Linked DNA regions of Neodiprion lecontei. Each later gene encodes a partner of the first gene's protein in a complex. Links are inferred from orthologs where the notes say so. Each region holds a gene or a part of one and is shown on either strand. Other genes may lie near its edges.

Region 1 (5,001 bases):
ACTGATTCAGACAGCGTTCTGAAACATGCGGCAACGAGATCATGCTGGGAAAATTTTCAAATTGACCAACAAAATCCGATTCTCGCAAAACACAAGATTTAAAAAGTTCAAAAACGTAATTGCATAACAATTCGAGAGGTAAACTGTCGTTCAAAACTTCTAATATCAATCGATTCCAGTTTTTGCAAACTCGTCGTGTACATAGCAGTAAATTATGAAGAAATCGCGAATAGCGTATTACAAATAATAAACGCAGCGTGCGTTTTGATACTTCCAACAGTTTTCTTTGTTTTTCTTTCCGAAACCGTGTACCTACAGTATGCACGCGTACCATATCTGTGTACTTAAAATGACTGTCAGTTATACTATTTTCATTTTTCAAGTATTCCTCTCATTTGGAAAATTATCGTTATCATTTATAATTCAAGTTAACAGGTATATCCCGGTTGGAAAAGTGGATTTAAAAAAAAATCAACTTGTAATCTCGCCACTAAAAAGTATACATCTATCCACTTAGGATATACGATGTATGAGGGAATACTTTGAGTTCGGTTTAAAAATTAAATGAACAATTTTCCAAATGAGTGAAATAGTCAAAAAACGAAAATATAACTGAACAGCGTTTTTGAGTACCACATTGAGGAAAGAAAGATATGCGAGTATACAATGGCTCAAAACCAGCTACATTACGTTTACTAGTGGTACAAAATACGAGGTGAATATCAAGATCAGTAATGATTATTTACAATATAACAAATGTACAATACGCTGCAAACCGTTGCAATCAAAGCCAAGCCTACTGCAAATTCATACGGTATCGTGATACGTTCCCCACTCGGTGATATTGGTACAGGATTCTATATAAATTTACAGTAGGAAAACCACTGATCCACGTCCACGTAATACTGATGAACCCCTCTCTCAGTTACTGAATAGTTGTCGGATGATACGTGCCCGCATACGCAATGACATAATACATAGGATCATAAGTAAACTGCAAAGCTCGCATGCCATGTACCGCGAACGCATATACATATGTATATTTAGCCGAGCGAAGCTGCAGGGAGCGTGAAAAGTGAATGCCATCGTGCCGAATCTATGTCCGTAAGATGATCAAGTGTAGAAGAGACATGTGGTTATACTTTCAGGGGTCCAAAAAGTTCTCGACCTTGATCTATATCGCTTCTAACGACCAGCTGATTGCGAGTGGTGAGCCGTAGGCGTTCACCGAGGTTACGTCTCAGCAACGCTGGATGAATCTCGATTTCCGACGGGACCATGGGGATTTTATACGGAGGGCATCTCCTTTCCCTCTTGCAAGTAAGAACATGTGTCGGCATTTTTTTTTTTGCAAAGCTCTTACAAACGTGTCTGGACGTATCTGTATTGTACACCCGGTATATGTATATACATTATGTATGCACATGTGCGTGTGGCTCCTCACAGTCACACAAGCTGCGATGGCAATACTTGTAGGAGCCAACACGCTGCTGGATTAGTCTGCAGTTGGTAAAAATATGACTTTCAACTGGATAATTGATAGAGATAATAAACAGGTTTAGGATTGGAAAATCTCTTGCAGCTTTCTGGACTAAGGACGCGTCCCCAGACTTTCGGAGTTGGGATCGGTAAGGAATTATTAGGCACAATTTCGTACGCGGTTTCACTTGTTAGACGAGAGCCATACGTTGAGACTGAATAGGTGGAAATAAACGGAAGCAATTGGAGTGAGCTACACGCGACTGATCGTTCAGGCAGGTATGTACGTAGGAAATGAACGCAAGATTCACTACATTACAGTGCACTGTTTTTTGCAACCTTCGCATCACACGTAGTATGCAGTTTATACTATAGCACTCCTACATCGCAGATTCAGATGCCGCGTATGGTGCGATATATACGTCTGTAATGGACTCACTTTGTAGAGAGGTCGTGGTTAATGAAGCCCGTGTTAATGCCTCGAAGAATATCGCAAACTGGCGTCGAGTCAGGTTCGAGTACATCAACTCGAGTCGCGGGATCTGTCGTACTGGCGTTGGTACTGACGACCTTGTGCGAGACCTGGAAACAATATACCTCGGATAAATGCCGTCATGATTGTGAGTACTATCTACCAAAGATGTATACAAGAGACTGCGACGATTCAAACGGAAGAATAGGCGTATGGTATATAGATTCGAGAATACATTTCCACTTGTATCCACGGATAAGGAGCGACGCAATGTAACTTGGCTGCGCAGATGAGATAAATACGGTGCACAGAAAAGGTCGCCCATTTGTCATGAAAATTTCACTTGAGAGCATACCCAAAGCCCCCCCCTCCCCCCTTCAACGGCCATTCTTTTGCTGATTGTAAGACGAAAAATAGTGAGATCCGCATGGTTTTAAGCCCAAATGATTTATCAAATTTCTTTCACGATTTGACTATAGCGATAATGAGTAGGTACACTGTTTGGAAGGTATATGCGCATTAGGTCGAAATCGATTGAACTGATACAAAAAAATTTGTCAGGTGTCAAGCGTGAATTTTTCGGCAATCCAAGGCAGGCTCAACTACCTATAAACCAGATTCCAAGCCGGTTTAACAAACTGTGAGAACTTTTCCGAGGCAGAACAGTAATCACAGTTTCGTTGCTCAAAGAGTACTCAGTGAGATAGGCCGTGGCGTCACCTTGTTTTTTATACCGTGAATTCCTACCTATATGCCCCCATCTACTTTGTCCGCCCTCCCCACCGAAGCCGAGTTCGCACGCCGATAACCCGTATACTACTAGAAATCTACTGAGGTTATCTGCATGCCTCAAACAAAACCGTACTAACCACAATAGAAAATATTGACAGCGTACGACGTATTTCGGATTCTAACATTCGCAACAGCTCCTCGACGCTAGAACGACACTCTTTGTTTCCATCTGCATCTATTTCTCCAAACACAAACGAAGGGTTCCGAGCAGGTACCGTTTTTGCTTTCACCTTGTTACACGCCACTTGAACTCTGGCCAGAACTCTATGGATTGATAAATAAACACTGATTCAATTCGTGATTAGAAGGAACATCAATTCTTGGATTATACCATGTCAAGTTTTCTAACAATTTGATTTCCTTTTAAATACGTATATTTTTCACCTTTCCAGCTGTTTCACAGCTTCGCGTATAACGCTGTAGTATTCGGTGATGCACTGGTCTTCCATTTTTTCGTCCAGTGTTTCGATTTTATTCGTCAGACTGATGTCCGGATCTTCGAGTCCCTGTAACAAGATCGAGGTAGTAATATTACCTATATAGTTCATGGAAGCGGTTACGTGGCGTTGTTGATAGCTACGTGCATATACATCTGTAAATTGATAATATGTATAACGACAAATTACACTAAACGTGTATTTGCGGACCTTATGCAGGGACTATGAATTATCTACATTTAAAATGCATGTATACAGGGTCATTTATTAAATATACTGGATGCCCGATCCTCGAATGCAAGAGAGCAGCTTACGCATGCTTCGCAATCAGGTGAAATCGGCTAGCTGCTGCGACTGACGCACTAGCGGCCATTATTCAATAAACGATTCTATGCAGAGTTGCCGAACGTGAATCCCACGTAACACTGTATATATATATATTGAGCATAGTACGTATAGACGTGTATATTACAGTTATAGTGAATTATCAGATCACAGCTGTCACTTACCGAAGCTTTCATTTCATCGCACAGAGACCGCGGGATTATTTTTCCCGAATAGTGTGACGTATCCAAGTCGAAGCTTAGCTCATTTTTAAAGACTGGTCTTGCGGATGACTGAAAAGAATGGATGTTAACACCCCAATAAACATGAAAATTTTTCTCCGTATGGATCACCAATTGGGCCTTTATGTTGAAGAAATACATTTTTTGTACGTATACCTATTTAAGTATAAAGCGGAGAAACACTAGGTTCCTATAAGACCAAAAATAACAAGGGAAAAATTTGAGTGTATCTTATTTTTTGGATTCAAAACAGCCTTTCCGATGGAAATAAAAATATACGATTTATTGTGTTACAAACTTCAGTGAAAAACAACTCATTTCTCAATTAAACACTTTTTTATCAGACCTACCAGATCCAAGATGTATGAATTATTCAAGAAAAAAAAATTCTTTCTCAAACGATTGAAAAAAATCACGTAGACTACGCTCAACTACAGTACCAAATGTGGTCAATTATTTTTCGCGTCTCTGTGTTTAGGTCATTTAAAAAAATTTAATTTTTACAAAACGTAAAATTTCAGTTACTACATAGCTACCCCGTACAAACTAATCCAAATTAATAGCAAGTCCCCAGACAGGTCAGGGTAAACGGCTGATTGCGAGCCGTAATCTATTTTCGGAAAAACTATCGCGATAATCAACTGCGGACGGGTCACCCGCAACGTTAATTAAACAAGTCGTCATTGACCTTCAGTTAATCCAGCGTGCGCGTGGTACGATTGAAAACCATCCGAGACGATTTGAAGTGATTTGAAATGAAAAAACATCGGTATGAAAGGCATGTCGTTTACATTTTCGGTATTTCTTATTTTTTCAACTTTGCAGAAATCATCGTACCTTTATACCAATATATTAAATTAAAATGTACCTGGGAAAAGCGCCTCAATATGGCAAGTCCTACTTTATTGAAAACAAATTTATCAGGTATAAACTTGTATCTTGGATGAAAAAAACATTTTTGGCAAAAAATCAATGAAGTATCTGATCTTCCATTAAGAAATTGATACTCACCGGTTCGCTATGGGACATATCATCTCGGTGTGTTTGCAGCTCGGAAACTCGGGTCTCCAACTCTTTCACGATAGTTTTCAGTTGCTGAAACAGTTGTGTAGACTTTGTTGAACGATAAAAACAAAAAAAATTAAACCTAACCACCATGAAGCATAATATGATAAATTACTTTTCAACTATTTCCGACATGGGTGTGCAATCAAGGAGTTAAATTAATTACCTCGATAGTCCTCGTAGAAACTTG
Region 2 (3,764 bases), on another chromosome or scaffold:
TGTAAAGAAGCAAATTCAAAGTGAGGGTAAGAGTGCTCAAGGTGATACTGGCATCCAATTATTCAGAAGCGAGATGTCAAGAGTCTTGAGGCATTATTATACAGAATCTGAAACACAGTCGATAATTAATGAGTTTATGAAAGACTTAAAAAAGAAAGTAGACGGCTTGAGCTATGACGACTTGGAAAGATTAGCAACGGCTCTGCTTCAGGATCAAGAAAGTACCACTTGAAGAAATTTTCCTTGGATTTTTTTCTGCAGAATACCTTCAATCATTCGTTTGTTAATTTTTAATAAAACTCTGCATCTAGAAAATTTTTAATTGTAAGGTTTTCCGTGCTTTTTGAAAAGTGAATGATGTTTTCTTGTACTGCTCACTTTTACAAATTAATTCTTTGCACTCTTTTTTAATTAATTATTTACAACAAATTTTCTATACATTCGTCCGTTTTACGCATTAATTTCCCTCTCATTTCACAAAATGGCAAACCCACAAGTGGCTGAGACGATTGATTTGCACAATATTTAACAGCAATGTTCAACGAAATTCCATTCGTGAATAATTCATTGAGTTGACCTAAGGAATATTTTAAGCATATGTAATTTCTAATATTCAAGAGATGTAATGTAGCCTCTTCAATGATCGCTCGCTTGAATTGACATTCATCCATCATGTTTAGCTGTTAACTAAGTGCAAGATAATGATAATAATAAAACAAAACTTGTTACGTTAAAATTAATCTATATTTATTTCAATCAGTAGTTACAAATTTCATTGATCCCCAATTTCACAATTATGTCGTTCTTTAATCACAAATTACAAGTCCACCAAATCCATTTGTCTGAAATATCTGGCGACCAGGCAGATAAATAAATTCAAAGCTGTGACATCTTTAGCGTTCTCCTCTGTCTAAAAATAAATTACAAATATTATCCATAAAAAATTTACCTCTCGAAACATTTGCCACTCTGTTTTCAAAATGTATTTTACCATGCTAGCTCTGATTATCGAACATGTTCTAGCAAGCGAGCGTAAGCAGGAACACGTGTCTGGATTTAAAGGTAACTCGAGGGTAGCTAGTAGGGCATAAATCCAGCCTCCGTATGGTTGCGAGATCAGGCCCTTTTCTTCTACTGCTTCGACGAGATGTTCCAAGACTTGTTCGATCAGCGGCTGGTTCATGTTTAATACTAGTCCAAGCAACGGTCTCATGTTGCAGATGTACTCCAGCCAGCCAACCTGATCATCTGCGTCAGGCTGTAATTTGCACAAGGATAAGTGTATTCTGAAATCAGATGTGATCAGAAATTAAATCTTACCAGAACAGTTTGTCGAAGCCTGCGGCGACCCTCAGCATTTTGTAAATTGTGTTTAATCCGGTCGATCTCTAGTCTCACAGAAGAAAAGTCTGCTAGTTGACACTGCTGCCAGTCCAGAGTCGGAACCATCGAAGCTGGAGCCTCGACACATCCTGCTAGCTGAGCAATTGTTTATTACTCATTTCACACATCGTACAAATGATTGCTTTTGCCTGCTTGTTTTGTTTCATTGACTTACAGGCTTTACCGCCACCATGGGAGTCCTAATACGAGCTTTTATATTCTCTGCCACAACCACGTCGTCGCACTGCTGCGCCTCAATTCTAGAAATATTTTGCAATTGCAGTGAATTGTTTAGAGGGAAAATTAGCGTATTGAAAGATGGGACAGGAATACCGACACCACACGCTTGATGTATTCCTCTCCTGAGGATGGAGGTAGCATAAGGTCGAATTCCGCGTCAATTTCGCCCACAAATAAAGCAGGCTCTCTCAAAATATCCCCCATCTTTCGAGGCGAGGTATATGGTTAAAAAAAATTTCGTCGCAACGCGTGCTAAGAATTTCGCATTGTTGACATGTTTTTCCTAGGTTAAATTACGTTTGAATAACGTGAATTCCGTCATCCTTCGACGTATTATCGGTGGTCACATGCAGGAAGACCAGAAACTCGATATCATTTTGCAAGCTCTTGTTGCCATGGCAACGGGTACAATCGTAGTGGCGGCAAAATTGGACAAACGCGTGACGGAAACCCCGGGAAATTTAAAACTGTCTACCTATATAAAACGGTAATCAAAGTTTATTAGTCGTAAATGATCATGATACATTCTTTCCACCACGATGAATGATTCTTCTTATCGTCACGATTTATTCATTACTCTACGAATGTAGACATCACCGGGTGATCTGAACCTTACAACTTTTGGTGAGCATATGGATCTCTATACCTACTGTTATTTTTTTTTTTTGTTTTTCTTTTTTATTAAAATACATAAAATATGTACACTCGGTAGCCGTAGTAGCGACCTATTTACAAAAGAATGTGTGTGAAAAATTTGTTATTGTATGTTTGTCGGGACACAGTTCGATCGGCGCAGGCGTATACTAAGCTAAAAATACTGATAAAAAAACCATATTTAATAATATTCTTGAAATTCAAATTAATTTTAGGTGGATCGACATAATACATATAACATATTTATCGTACGTAGCGTACTAGACGTACATACATAACAAAAATATCTTAATTGTAAGTACAGCAGATCATTGATTGCGTATTGTATTGTATTAATCGACAGATATGATATCTGGACAAAAAATATTTATCATAAAAATCGCTCAGTTTGGCAATTGGCAATCTCAAATACATACGTATGAATCTCCATACGTACGAATAGATCGAATAAGACTGTATATCATGGATTGAAAAATCTGCGTCTAACTATTTTTTCCCGCAAGTATAATATAACCCGTATAATGAATTTCAATTTCTTGTTACTTTCGCGGTGTCTCTTGAGCCGCCAACTTGTTCCAGATCAATACCGTCGTATTCCAAAGCTCCAGCATTGTCGTAGTAAGCGTAATCGTAGTCGTTCTTCTTTTCCGACTTCGATTTTACCGTGGTAGATTCTTGACGCCGATCGACAGTCCTTGTCGTGGATGTGAACGGCCTTGGTGTCGCACTGACGAAATTTCCAGTTCTTGAATTCGGCGTCGTTTGCGACGCGTAATTGGTCGCTGCAGCCGACGACGGCCTCTGAGTTGTTGGGTTATTGTAGACAGTCCTTCTATAACAGATCATCACAAGTTAGACATTAGTGATAAACATATAAACACCTATTCCTTCAATCCAAGCACTTTCAATGAGAAAAATCACCTACCTCGGAACGGGAGTCGTCGCTCTCACGGTGACGGGACTCTCTGCGAGCTTGTTGACACTAGCGGGACTGAATCCGTTGACGGAAGCCGTTCTTCCGCCCTGGTCGAAGTTGTCGAAGCTCTTGGTGCTTCCGTCGAAATTCGTCTTAGATTCATAGTTGTTGTACTGCGTAGCAACCTTCTTCGGGGCTTTCGTAGCCACCTCGCGATTGTACTGTCCGCTGTTATCGTTGGACCTCGAGGTGTCGTAGGTCTGCTCGGTCTGCTGAGTGTTCCTTTCGCGGTACTGGCCGCTGTTCGTTGTTCTGGCGCTCTCGTACTGCCCGGTGTACTGATCGTTCCCTCGATTGATCACCTGGCTTTGGGTGTTGCCATTACCGATGGTCGCTTGTTTCTTGGTAACCGGACTGTAGGTCGTCGGGATGTAGCTGCTACCCGCAAAGCTGTTTGCGAATCTCTGAGTGGTTTGAGTAAAATCTTGCTGTCTGGTGGTCTGAACTTTGTTCGCAATCTGGGGCTCGCTGGTTCTCGGGGTGACCGAGTAGTCGTCGTAGGAGGTTGACG

Evidence for each region.
Region 2: gem-associated protein 5-like (region 1) and gem-associated protein 2 share a complex: the UniProt entries of both Homo sapiens proteins name them as parts of the SMN-Sm complex. The link is inferred for Neodiprion lecontei from reciprocal best matches to the Homo sapiens genes GEMIN5 and GEMIN2.

The regions. Positions count from the first base shown.
Region 1 is NC_060265.1:3,239,888-3,244,888, reverse strand, and holds the start of gem-associated protein 5-like, read left to right. Parts: upstream 1-2,061; 5' UTR 2,062-2,093; coding exon 2,094-2,099; intron 2,100-2,820; coding exon of another isoform or gene 2,821-3,007; intron 3,008-3,127; coding exon of another isoform or gene 3,128-3,249; intron 3,250-3,689; coding exon of another isoform or gene 3,690-3,797; intron 3,798-4,757; coding exon of another isoform or gene 4,758-4,841; intron 4,842-4,977; coding exon of another isoform or gene 4,978-5,001. Other genes in the region: uncharacterized protein LOC107220650, read right to left, coding at 1,919-2,061, 2,821-3,007, 3,128-3,249, 3,690-3,797, 4,758-4,841, 4,978-5,001. UniProt on the Homo sapiens protein: The SMN complex catalyzes the assembly of small nuclear ribonucleoproteins (snRNPs), the building blocks of the spliceosome, and thereby plays an important role in the splicing of cellular pre-mRNAs.
Region 2 is NC_060263.1:39,236,287-39,240,050, forward strand, and holds gem-associated protein 2, read right to left. Parts: upstream 1,976-3,764; 5' UTR 1,828-1,975; coding exon 1,721-1,827; intron 1,644-1,720; coding exon 1,559-1,643; intron 1,480-1,558; coding exon 1,321-1,479; intron 1,259-1,320; coding exon 992-1,258; intron 911-991; coding exon 818-910; 3' UTR 726-817; downstream 1-725. Other genes in the region: ubiquitin-like protein 4A, read left to right, coding at 1-232; probable cyclin-dependent serine/threonine-protein kinase DDB_G0292550, read right to left, coding at 2,806-3,109, 3,203-3,764. UniProt on the Homo sapiens protein: The SMN complex catalyzes the assembly of small nuclear ribonucleoproteins (snRNPs), the building blocks of the spliceosome, and thereby plays an important role in the splicing of cellular pre-mRNAs.